Saccharomyces cerevisiae S288C: one gene and its partners. The gene in region 2 interacts genetically with the main gene of each other region. Each region holds a gene or a part of one and is shown on either strand. Other genes may lie near its edges.

Region 1 (3,287 bases), on a different chromosome or scaffold from region 2:
GTGTCCATGAAGCCGATATTTCCAAGCTTGCATCATTAAATTCATGATGGAAATAGTCAATCGCAGGCTTGTTGTAGTTGGTCATGTTATCCAGTAACATTATATTCTGGTACGAAATTATTGTATCGTCCAAACTAGTCATTTTCTGTATATGTATCTATTTGTGTGTGTATGAACACTTGTGTGTAGTATCTGAATGCGATAAGAGAAAGGGCCAAAGTTGAACTGAATGCAAAAAGTAAAACCTATAAAACCGTGTTGACCATACGCTTTCATATATATATATATATATGTTTGTTTTTGCTAAGACCCGGTAACTGTACTTTTTCTGCAGTCATCCAAGGGAAGACAAAAGAAGAAAGAAAAAACAAGATTAATGTCCCCAGGTTTTTTCTTTTCCTGGCGGAAAAAGCTCAAATCTAACATTTCCCCGCGGGGGTTTCTTTGTAAAGAGTATCGAGTCGGAAACGAAAAAAAAAAAAAGATGAGAAAATGAATTTTTCCGGTCGCCTAAAGATAGAGGTACCAGCGGAAAAAATGCAGCAAAAGCAAAATACCCCATTCAAGTTCCCCCTGTCTCGCCCCTCTCACGCTTCACTGTCCCCCGCTTTCGGTTTTTCCGGCTACGGCATTTCTGTTGAAAGTTGCCGGAAAAACCCCAAAAAGCATAAAAAAAAAGAGCGGGGGGAAGAAAAAAAGATTCCTTTCTATCTTTTCCTTCCCCGGCCTATTCGGGTACTCGCTTCCGGGTCCGCTGTCGTTTATAATGATTAGTGCAGAGAGCTTTCTTCTCTTAGTTTTTCATGTGGTAAAGGCAATGCCATTTAGAAGGATACTACGTGGGGTTCAAAACCGTGAATACGTTGTCTATCGTGTTATGTATGTTCTGAGTTTCTTTTTGTCATTCTACTAGTTTATGGACTGGGACTATGTATCTTGCAGTATGATTTCGTCAGGAAGCTTGTCATAGCAAGGCCTGAACAAATCGTACGTTAAAATAAAAATGAGCACCAATTCGAGTCACTGATGCCTACTGCTCAATCCAACCATCTAGTTCTGCAAAGATACTTACTCCGCATAATTAAAAAAATAAGGTATTTTAAAGTTGTGTAGTGACGAATGTAGTGACGCGGAAACGTTTTACTCGTCAATGGACATTTGCGAATGTGTCCGATAAATAGTTGAGGCTTTTCCTGCATTCTGTCAAGAAGGGTATGTGTATGAACATGCAAATGACACTGTAAAATGATTCATTACCCTGATTATGGAGTGATTTTCTTTCCTTTTTTTTTTTACATTTAGTTTCATTATTATGCAAATTAGAGGGTATACAGTTGAGATTTTAACACTTTGAATTAAAAAGTGTTACAGAGGAAACCGACGCAAAAGGCTTGGTGACGCAAACTTTTCCATCTTTATTTCACCTCTTCAGACGGTCCTAAGACCTTTTGAACGTATCAATATAGTTTTATCATCTGTTCTCTGTTGTTCTCCGTTACTAAGATATTAGTCAGCTCTTGAAATTTCACACCCCTATTTATTTGTCTTAGCGTCCAACCCCTCTCAACCCTTTTCCATTTCTTGTATAAAGGTAGTTAATTAGGTAACGCTGCTCTTACCATCACTACAGTGCTTACGAGAATTTACCCAAACCCTGCGCAAGATAAATAAGAAATGTCGAAACAGTGGGCGAGTGGTACAAACGGAGCTTTCAAAAGACAGGTTTCGTCCTTCAGAGAAACAATCTCTAAGCAACACCCAATTTATAAGCCAGCAAAGGGAAGATATTGGTTGTATGTTTCACTTGCATGCCCATGGGCCCATAGAACACTAATTACGAGGGCTTTGAAGGGATTAACCTCTGTTATAGGATGTAGCGTAGTCCATTGGCACCTTGACGAGAAAGGATGGAGATTTTTGGACATGGAAAAGCAATTGGAGGACAGTGAAGATTTTTTGGAACATTGGCACGATGTTGCAGGTGGTATTAGAACTGCTAAAGAGGATTCCAGCAAGAGCTTCGCCGAGATCAAGAATGACAGTCAAAGATTCATGGTTGATGCTACCAATGAGCCTCACTATGGATACAAGAGAATCAGTGACTTATATTACAAGAGCGATCCTCAATACTCGGCAAGGTTCACCGTCCCAGTCCTGTGGGACTTAGAAACCCAAACAATTGTTAACAACGAAAGTAGCGAAATTATAAGGATTTTGAACTCTAGTGCGTTCGATGAATTTGTCGACGACGATCACAAGAAAACGGACCTTGTTCCTGCTCAGTTGAAAACACAGATCGATGACTTCAATTCTTGGGTTTACGACAGCATCAACAATGGTGTATACAAGACCGGATTCGCAGAGAAAGCAGAAGTTTACGAAAGTGAAGTCAACAACGTATTTGAACATTTGGACAAAGTGGAGAAAATCCTGAGTGACAAATATTCCAAATTGAAGGCCAAATACGGTGAAGAAGATAGACAAAAAATCTTGGGTGAGTTCTTCACTGTGGGTGATCAATTAACAGAAGCTGACATTAGATTGTATACTACCGTCATAAGATTCGATCCTGTGTACGTCCAACATTTCAAATGCAATTTTACCTCTATTAGAGCCGGATATCCATTTATTCATTTGTGGGTAAGAAATTTATACTGGAATTATGATGCCTTCAGGTACACAACAGATTTTGACCATATCAAGTTACACTACACGCGTTCCCACACAAGGATCAACCCCTTGGGAATTACGCCCCTGGGACCCAAGCCAGATATTCGTCCTTTATAACAAGCTGTAATTAAATAATCAAATGTCTATAATCTCCCTGAGTTGCCTCTTTTTCTATACTCAATTGGGTAATTGACGCGAAACGCGTTAAAGTGCAAAAAAAGGCCTGGAAATTATATTTAACGCAATGAAATATTTTCATAATATGACATTCATGCACAGCTGTATTCATTCTTCTACTTTGTAGTTTGTTATTCTTCTTTATCGGTTTCGTTTTACAAAAGATTTTAGCAAGGAAGCAGTTTTTAAACCAATCAATGGTATACACAACACCGCAACAACAGCAGAGATTCAGCTCCACACCGCAATCTAGCCACACTCTTATCTTCTCGCCAATCAGAGCCCCTTCAATGCAAACGCCCTCCTCATTGGATTACCAATCACCTTCAATTGTTGTGTCATCGTCTTCAATGAAGGTTCACGGCCGGTCTTCCAGTTTCGGTAAATTTTCACTGTCTATTGGGCAAAATGGTAAGGCTACAATACTGGGGCCTATAAAC
Region 2 (3,759 bases):
TATATCACCCATTTACTGTAAAAAGATAAAAAGACCAGTAAATGTAACGGAAAACCATTCATTTTAACGGAGCCGTGACGAGAGTGGCTGTGATCGGAATTCCACGTCAAGGTCCTGGAAGACGGGGATCGGGGACTAAAAAAGAGCGTCGAAAGTATCCAGTACGTCATTACCAAGTTGAAAATGAAAAAAGATCAATTAGCCACATTTTATCCTGGATTTATTATCTATTATATATCATTTTAAATGGTTTAGGCTCCCAGAGAAAAAAGCAAAACTCAGGTGAGGTATATGTACAAACTAAATAAAAGTTCTAAGGTCGATCGCTACCTCCGTATAGAAATTCCTAAAATCCCTAAGGAAAATTAACTCCCTCATAAGTAACATGAGGAATTCTTCCCACTAATGCTAAAATGTTCAATGAAGCTATTTTTCCAACATCATAACCTCTGGGAAACGCTTTTCTACGTATGATAGAAGTATGCGCCTACGTGCGTACAAAGCGGTAACCTCCACTCTTCTTTGACGATCGGCCCAATTATGTGCTTGCAACAAAACTAGCAAGAAAAATTCTTCGATAATCATAGTTGGCGTGTTAGCAATCAATTGACCTGTTGTACTCCAACGCAAACCGGAAGCAATACAAATTAAACCAATGATGATGATGACGGATACAAGAACACTCCATGGAGTTGAGCAGATCCTATTAATATATTGGGATGTTCTGTAACCAATAGTGTTAATTTCAGGAGCTTTACCACTAAATTCTTCGGGACATTCAATACCTAATTCTTGGAATAATTCAAGGTCTTCTTTAGCCACATCAGAATAATTTTTCTCTTCATGTTGAACGATTCGGAAGTACACTTCTCTCAAAACGAAACCGTCCAAAAACCCAATTAAACCTGTGTATGTACCGATAATCAACCACCAATTATCATCCCACTTCATTGGCGAACCAATACCAATCCATGTGGCGAACACTGCCACACCAATCAGGACACCAATACCAGTACCAATAATATCAGCATACCAATCAATCATCTTTCTCCCTGTCGACCTTTTTTTAGATTCAATAGTAACAACTGGGTGAGGTGTTTCAAAATCGTTAAAATGCTTTCTTATACGATAGTCGATTTTCTCGTCCATATCAAAGATATCAACTAAAAACCTCCCCGTGAAATAATCATGTCTAGCCCTTATATTTTGTAAGAAAGTAGTGCAAATTAGAAGGGAAACTGCAACTGCAGTGTTAATATACATCTGCCAAGCGTCACTGAACTTTTTCAATCTTGGATTACTACCTGTAGTTTCTCCGGTGTAAGGTGGAGTGTTGCCCGCATCTTTTGGGATAGCACCGCAACCAATCCAAACGAAAATACCTATCCAAAATATCACCATTGCTGCAATTGAACCCATATACCTACTTGCTACGTTAGATAAACGGTCGTACCAATTTTCCACAGGCAGTTCTCCGTTAATGGCAGATGGGTCTATATGATTTTCAACAGAGCTGACTTCATTAGCTTCAACTGTGCAGTCTGCTTTTTCTTCCTCTGGGGTGCTTCTTGTTAGATAGTTTTTGAAGGAAGCCAATCTCGACTTCAATCTACCGCAGATCAAAATTTGTTCATGCGTACTCATCAACTGTTGTCTCATCAACAGTGTGTCCCAAACATAACTTTGAATAGACTGTCCGTCCTGCATAACAACTTGCCAATTGAAAGGTGCGTTATAAACAATACCAATAACCACCCAAATTATGAGGATGATCCAAACAATAAAAAAAACCGCCTGCGAACCGGCCACTCGTACCAGGAAATCCAGGGTCTTATCTGTGAAACCTTTGCTTAACCCGGTAAAACCTTTACTCGTGAAGATTGCCCCTGTTTCTGTTAAATTCACATTACAAAGTTCGTCATCAGTACTCTCATCGCTATGGCTGACTACTCTGACCACATCATCATTTTTGTAATCGTTAGAATCACCGAATTCTTCGTACTGTTTGCAGTCAACAGTAGGTGCTCTATGATGAACGTCAGGCCTAGCACCTGGATTCCCGAGAAACTCTGCAATTTTACCCATAATTTGATTAACGAATGTTTAATAATAAGGGTCTTATTAGGTTTCTATATCTACCTTTTCCCTTCTTATATCTGATACTGTTTGACTTATGATAAAAGAAACTTACTTACCTATCAATTAATTCATGCCGTGTGAAGTATATTTATATAAACAAGTATTTCTAAATGAAGAGCATCGAATCAAGATGTGGTAGATGCTAAACTAATGGGTGCAATTAAGAAGGCTTCTACCAAGCAAGTTCAAGGCCAGTAGCATTATATAGTTTTTTTGTCTTTATTTTTTTTTTTGGTTTTTTTTTTTTTCGTTTGAGAAAAATGCTGCTTCCTAAAAAGACTCAGCAAAAATGCTCATGACCTAATCAGTTTCGAGAGCAACCCCACGGGTAGGAAAGAAAGAGGCGCCAACGTTAAAGGAAACTGCCCATATCTAATACATAACCGCACAAGCTCCAAGCTCATTCAACACCTGTGTGATTTACGCCCCAATAAGGCTCAAGATTCCTCAATATTTTGTCGTTGTTCGAGCCATGAAAACCTCAAATTACTGCTACAGGACCCTAGGGTCTCGCTAAAAAAATGACTACGCGCGCTTATATAATTACTCGAATAAGACAAAAGAAAAAAACCCTTGCGATATGTCGTAGACACGTAAAAATGGCCCATTTAGTGGTAGTCGCAAACTAGAGGGGTAAAAATAACCTGTCCAGTACTGAAAGTAATGCTAGGGAAATGCGAATGACCGTACGTACACCTTCGTACATGCAGGTATTTAGGGGGCTTATTGTTTATGAACAATAGCACTATGCCAGGTCAAACATATCATGTTCGCGCAGTCTCCTCGTGGGATATATAAAGTGAACAAAAAGTGCACCCGGTTTTCGGAACAACGCTCTTCGCAACAAGGCAAAAAAGAAAAATGGGACAACGTAATCGGAGAATACCCAAAGGACATTATAATCCAATCAACGTAGTAGTACGTATGGTTAGAACAGCAAGCACAGATATTTGCTCATATGCAAGGAAACTGGTGTGATTAGAATGCCTTAAACATGAGTCCAATGTATGCGAATAAGATGCTACGTTGAATAAGCAGATCAAAGAACTTTTGGTAGGAAAAGCTTCTTTTTTTAAAAGCGCACGTTTCTTTTTCTTTGTTGGACCTTCCATCAAAATCCTTAATACGTGCAGCGAAGCAGCAACGCATTGACAGTTCATACAGGAAAGAGGAACAAATATTTTGAGCTGCTTGTCCCAGGAATCTAGGTGCTTACGTATCTTTTATTTTATTTAAATGTATGATCTTACCCACGATAATGGTCTTAGTACTTTAGTTTGGCAATGATGGAACCGGAGGACAACGGACAAAAGTTAGGGTATCTTTACTCTGTCACTGCGTATTTTTTGAAATACACTATTTTTACAAGGAGTTAAGCATAACAAGCACGTGCTGCAGATGTTTTCATTTAGTGAGTGAAGATCTTTATTCAAGTAATTCATCTTCATCCGTATAACTTCTTAGTAAAGCGACAAGGTCTGATGGCCGAATTTTTTTAATTTTGGCCATCGTATTAAAATGAACACTCTAAAGCCGAAATGAGAAAGATCTCGCTAATAGTAGGTTAGGACTCAATGGCTAGGTTATATTTTTGCCTTCGTGAGAGTAATTTACGTCGAG
Region 3 (3,759 bases), on a different chromosome or scaffold from region 2:
TCGTGATAATGTTCAGTTACTAATCAATCAACTATTATCACTACCTATGAAAACAACAACGGAGTCTGTAGGTGGCACCGGCGGTCAAAGTTCCGTGATGACCTTGTTGCAGCTTCCTGACCCTACCACTGACTTACCAAGAGAAAAGCCACTGCCAAAGGCTAAGGCTATGACCAAATGGGAGAAGTTTGCAGCTAAGAAGGGTATTAAACCAAAGGAAAGGGCAGGAAAGATGATTTATGATGAGGCATCCGGTGAATGGGTTCCAAAGTGGGGCTACAAGGGCGCAAATAAGAAGTTAGATGATCAATGGTTGGTGGAAGTTGATGATAAAGTAAAAGGCACTGACAATGAATTGATCGATCCAAGAACTTTGAATAGGGCAGAAAGAAAACGTTTAGTCAAGAAGAACGAAAAACAACAAAGGAGAAATATGAAGAATGCCTTATGATAGTGAAAGACGTTGTTGCTTCCTACTTGCGTCCCCAATCGATCCGCTAACCTTTTTTTTAACTACAGCATAACCTCACATCTACGTATCCTTACATCTATAATATTTTTAAATAATTGTAAATTAGAAAAACATCAAAATTCCGTTCTATATTTTGATACATTTTTTTGCAGTAGTCCAAGATGAGATCAGAATAAGATAGGTGAAAATTTTAACAAGTACTAAAGCGTTCGTTGACAGCTTTCTTTGCGTTGCCATGGCTGAATTAAACGATTATAGTACGATGATCGATATTCTTCTCTCTGATATGGATTTGGAAACGGTCACAACTAAAAAGGTTAGGATGGCTTTGAAAGAAGTATATGCAATCGACGTTGAATCACAGGGAAAAGCAATTAACAAATTGATTAGGAAACATCTAGATCTTGTAAAAGAAAGGCCGCGCTTCGAAAGATCTCTTGAGGATCTGCTAAAGGAAAATGCTACTTTGGCGATTGAGCTCACCAAGGAAATTACCGTAAGCAAACGATCATCTGGAGAGGAAAAGAACGATAGCGAAACCAAAGGTACTCATGTTGAGAAGAAAAAAGGGACTGTTAGTAAGTCACCTATTTCAACACGAAAAGTTACACTATCTAAATCATTAGCGAGTTTGCTAGGAGAGCATGAATTGACGAGGACCGAAGTAGTACGACGACTCTGGGCATATATTAAAGCGCATAATCTGCAGAATCCTAACAACAAGAAAGAAATACTGTGCGACGAAAAATTAGAATTAATACTTGGCAAGAGTACCAATATGTTTGAGATGCACAAAATTTTGGCAAGTCATATGACAGAGCCTAAAAAAATAAGCGACTGTCCTCCTCTTATCCAAGAAGTCCGTAGAAAGGAAAAGCCCATCGTTTCAGATTCCGAGCAATCAGATACAAAGGGCATTTGAATCAAGGATATCATGAAAATTTCAAGGCGTTGAAATTTGTGTTGTTAAGGCAACACTATAGGAATGAAAAATGGCCTCTCTATTATAAAGTCCTTTTGCCTTATTTTTTCGGTAGCTGCCTACAATTTGTAACGTTAACATTCCCGGGTGAAAAGATACATGAGTATGTAGAGATTTGTATATATATACCTACGTAGAAAATAGAAAGGCGAATAGCTCTGCTCCTAGTTGAATATTAGTAGCGTTCTCACATCATTAAGAGGATAAGCCGGCATTTTATAGGGCTTTTGCAGCTAGTGTGAAACTTATGAATCGAACAGTCTCCACATTATCATCTACTGTATCTGATGTATCCGTGGAAATACCGTCAATATGCAACGTCATTAATACCGAATTACCAACATCAGATGTCTATCTTTACACTTTAAAACTAATTTTGTTGGATTATATCAACGAACCGCGATTTAAAGAAGCAGCTTTGCTATCGAATAGGACAGGAACGTCAAGGGTTTTATCTGACAAAACGAATCATCAGCAAACGCAACATGGGAAGAAACTAGTGGTTGACAAACAAGACGATATGTCGGAACGCGATATAGTACAGGCAACTTTACGTATATTAAAAGGGAAGTTGGCACAAATTTCAGGAAATAAAAACTTGGCGCCGAATGAGATGCATTGGAAAAGTATTGTTAAGATGTATTATAGCATGCTCGATTCTTCTAGTGCAGATACATTTTCCAAGATGGGTCAAATGGAGGAGGTGGTCGGTTATTTCACAAATATTGCCAGTAATGAACTAAAGAAAATGACTATTAAAAATTCTCGTGACGAGCTGTTCAGTGAAGTTGCTTATTTTATAGACCTAGTAATTGATGTACTTCCAGATAGTTGTGCAAATATCATAAAGAGACTGCTTGATTATAAGATTAATCTTAAAAAAGGCGAGACAACAGTAAAGAAGAAAAGAGCCGCCTCACCTGCCACAGTCCCTCAATATAGAAGCATTTCCGGGAGCACGATTAGCAATAAGCAACCCTCTTTCAAAGTCCAAGATATTTCACATATGAAGTATTTTATGCAGTTATTCGAAACAGATGAAACAAAGCTTCACCAAGACGTAATGGCTGTTAAGGACGATTGTACAAATCCCATATTTTGCGGTGAACTAAGATATCTTAGGAAAAAAATCAAGAAAGACAACGGTACTTTGACGGCTTCTGATTTTTCAAGTGACAGAGAATACAATTTATGGAAGAATTATGAACTTCTTGAAATTGCAAATTTAATGGATCGATTTGAGATAGGCGAAAAGGTTACCTCTCACGGAAACCGTCTTATACCCAAGGATGCAAAAAGCGTATTTGTCCGTCTCATAGGCCTTGTTTTAAAAAAAGAGTGTTCTAATGCTGTAAATGCCATAAATCTTTCTCAAGAAGCTCTATTCTTCTTTCATAAATCAGCGAGGTATTGGAGAATAGAATATCCTTCCACCATCTCCTCGTTGGTTTATTCAGCAGCAAATTTAAGTGTTCTAGGAGATGAAGAGCTAAATATCCCAATAACTGAAAACTTGTTTTCTGTCATCCGCAATAAATATTTATGTTCAGAGGATAATCTGGATCCATCCGCTTGGAATGCTCAGGATCGCTATTTATGGGCTGCAAACCTTTTTCATACGACTGATCAGTCTATGAGGACAATAAATAACCTTTTAACTGCGATATTTTCAGGTACAAAGCCAAAATTTTCTCCAGTTTTGTCATTTTATTATTCAAACATTGTTGGGGATCCAGTAATGGAATTCTATGAAACGCAGTCCGTAGCTGTAAAGAAATACTGGATCAAATTATTTAAGAAGACTCTTTTTAAAGCATCAGAGGATTATTTTGTCTCCCTTCTGCAGGATATGCTAAAGGCTAACGCAATAGAAATTCAAAACGTTCAGAATCTCGTAGAAACAATTATAGAAGCCATAAAAGCGATTCAAAAACGTTACAATAAACCTTTATTGGACGAAATATCTCTGCCTAGACAATGCGCAGTATTTCTATGTGAAGTATACGGTTCGGATTCTTTAAATCTAATAAAAACCGCTGAAAAGAGTACCATGAAAATGACTGGACAAAAGTTGGGTCCAATAGATGCGCTAGATATGTATGATGTACTGAAAGAACTGAGACAGATTTACCTGCAGGTAAAGCCAAAAGGGAAATTTTTCTTTAACCTTGAAAATTATTTCATCAAATATTTGACTCGATTATGTGATGATGTGAGCCGTAATGTTCAAAAAGTTATTAAATCTTCACTAGAAAGCGAGAATTGGCAACCCGTAAATGACCAGGACCATTTCAGTAGATCAGTT

What was found.
Region 1: mutations in FET4 (region 2) and ECM4 together harm fitness more than expected from each alone (negative genetic interaction), as found in Saccharomyces cerevisiae (one large-scale study listed by BioGRID).
Region 3: mutations in FET4 (region 2) and YOR296W together harm fitness more than expected from each alone (negative genetic interaction), as found in Saccharomyces cerevisiae (one large-scale study listed by BioGRID).

The regions. Positions count from the first base shown.
Region 1 is NC_001143.9:580,609-583,895, forward strand, and holds ECM4 (S-glutathionyl-(chloro)hydroquinone reductase), read left to right. Parts: upstream 1-1,674; coding exon 1,675-2,787; downstream 2,788-3,287. Other genes in the region: YKR075C (uncharacterized protein), read right to left, coding at 1-142; MSA2 (Msa2p), read left to right, coding at 3,045-3,287. UniProt on the Saccharomyces cerevisiae protein: Active as '1-Cys' thiol transferase against beta-hydroxyethyl disulfide (HED), as dehydroascorbate reductase and as dimethylarsinic acid reductase, while not active against the standard GST substrate 1-chloro-2,4-dinitrobenzene (CDNB).
Region 2 is NC_001145.3:912,454-916,212, forward strand, and holds FET4 (Fet4p), read right to left. Parts: upstream 2,086-3,759; coding exon 427-2,085; downstream 1-426. UniProt on the Saccharomyces cerevisiae protein: Required for Fe(2+) ion low affinity uptake.
Region 3 is NC_001147.6:868,501-872,259, forward strand, and holds the start of YOR296W (uncharacterized protein), read left to right. Parts: upstream 1-1,701; coding exon 1,702-3,759. Other genes in the region: ribosome biogenesis protein RRS1, read left to right, coding at 1-451; UAF30 (Uaf30p), read left to right, coding at 708-1,394.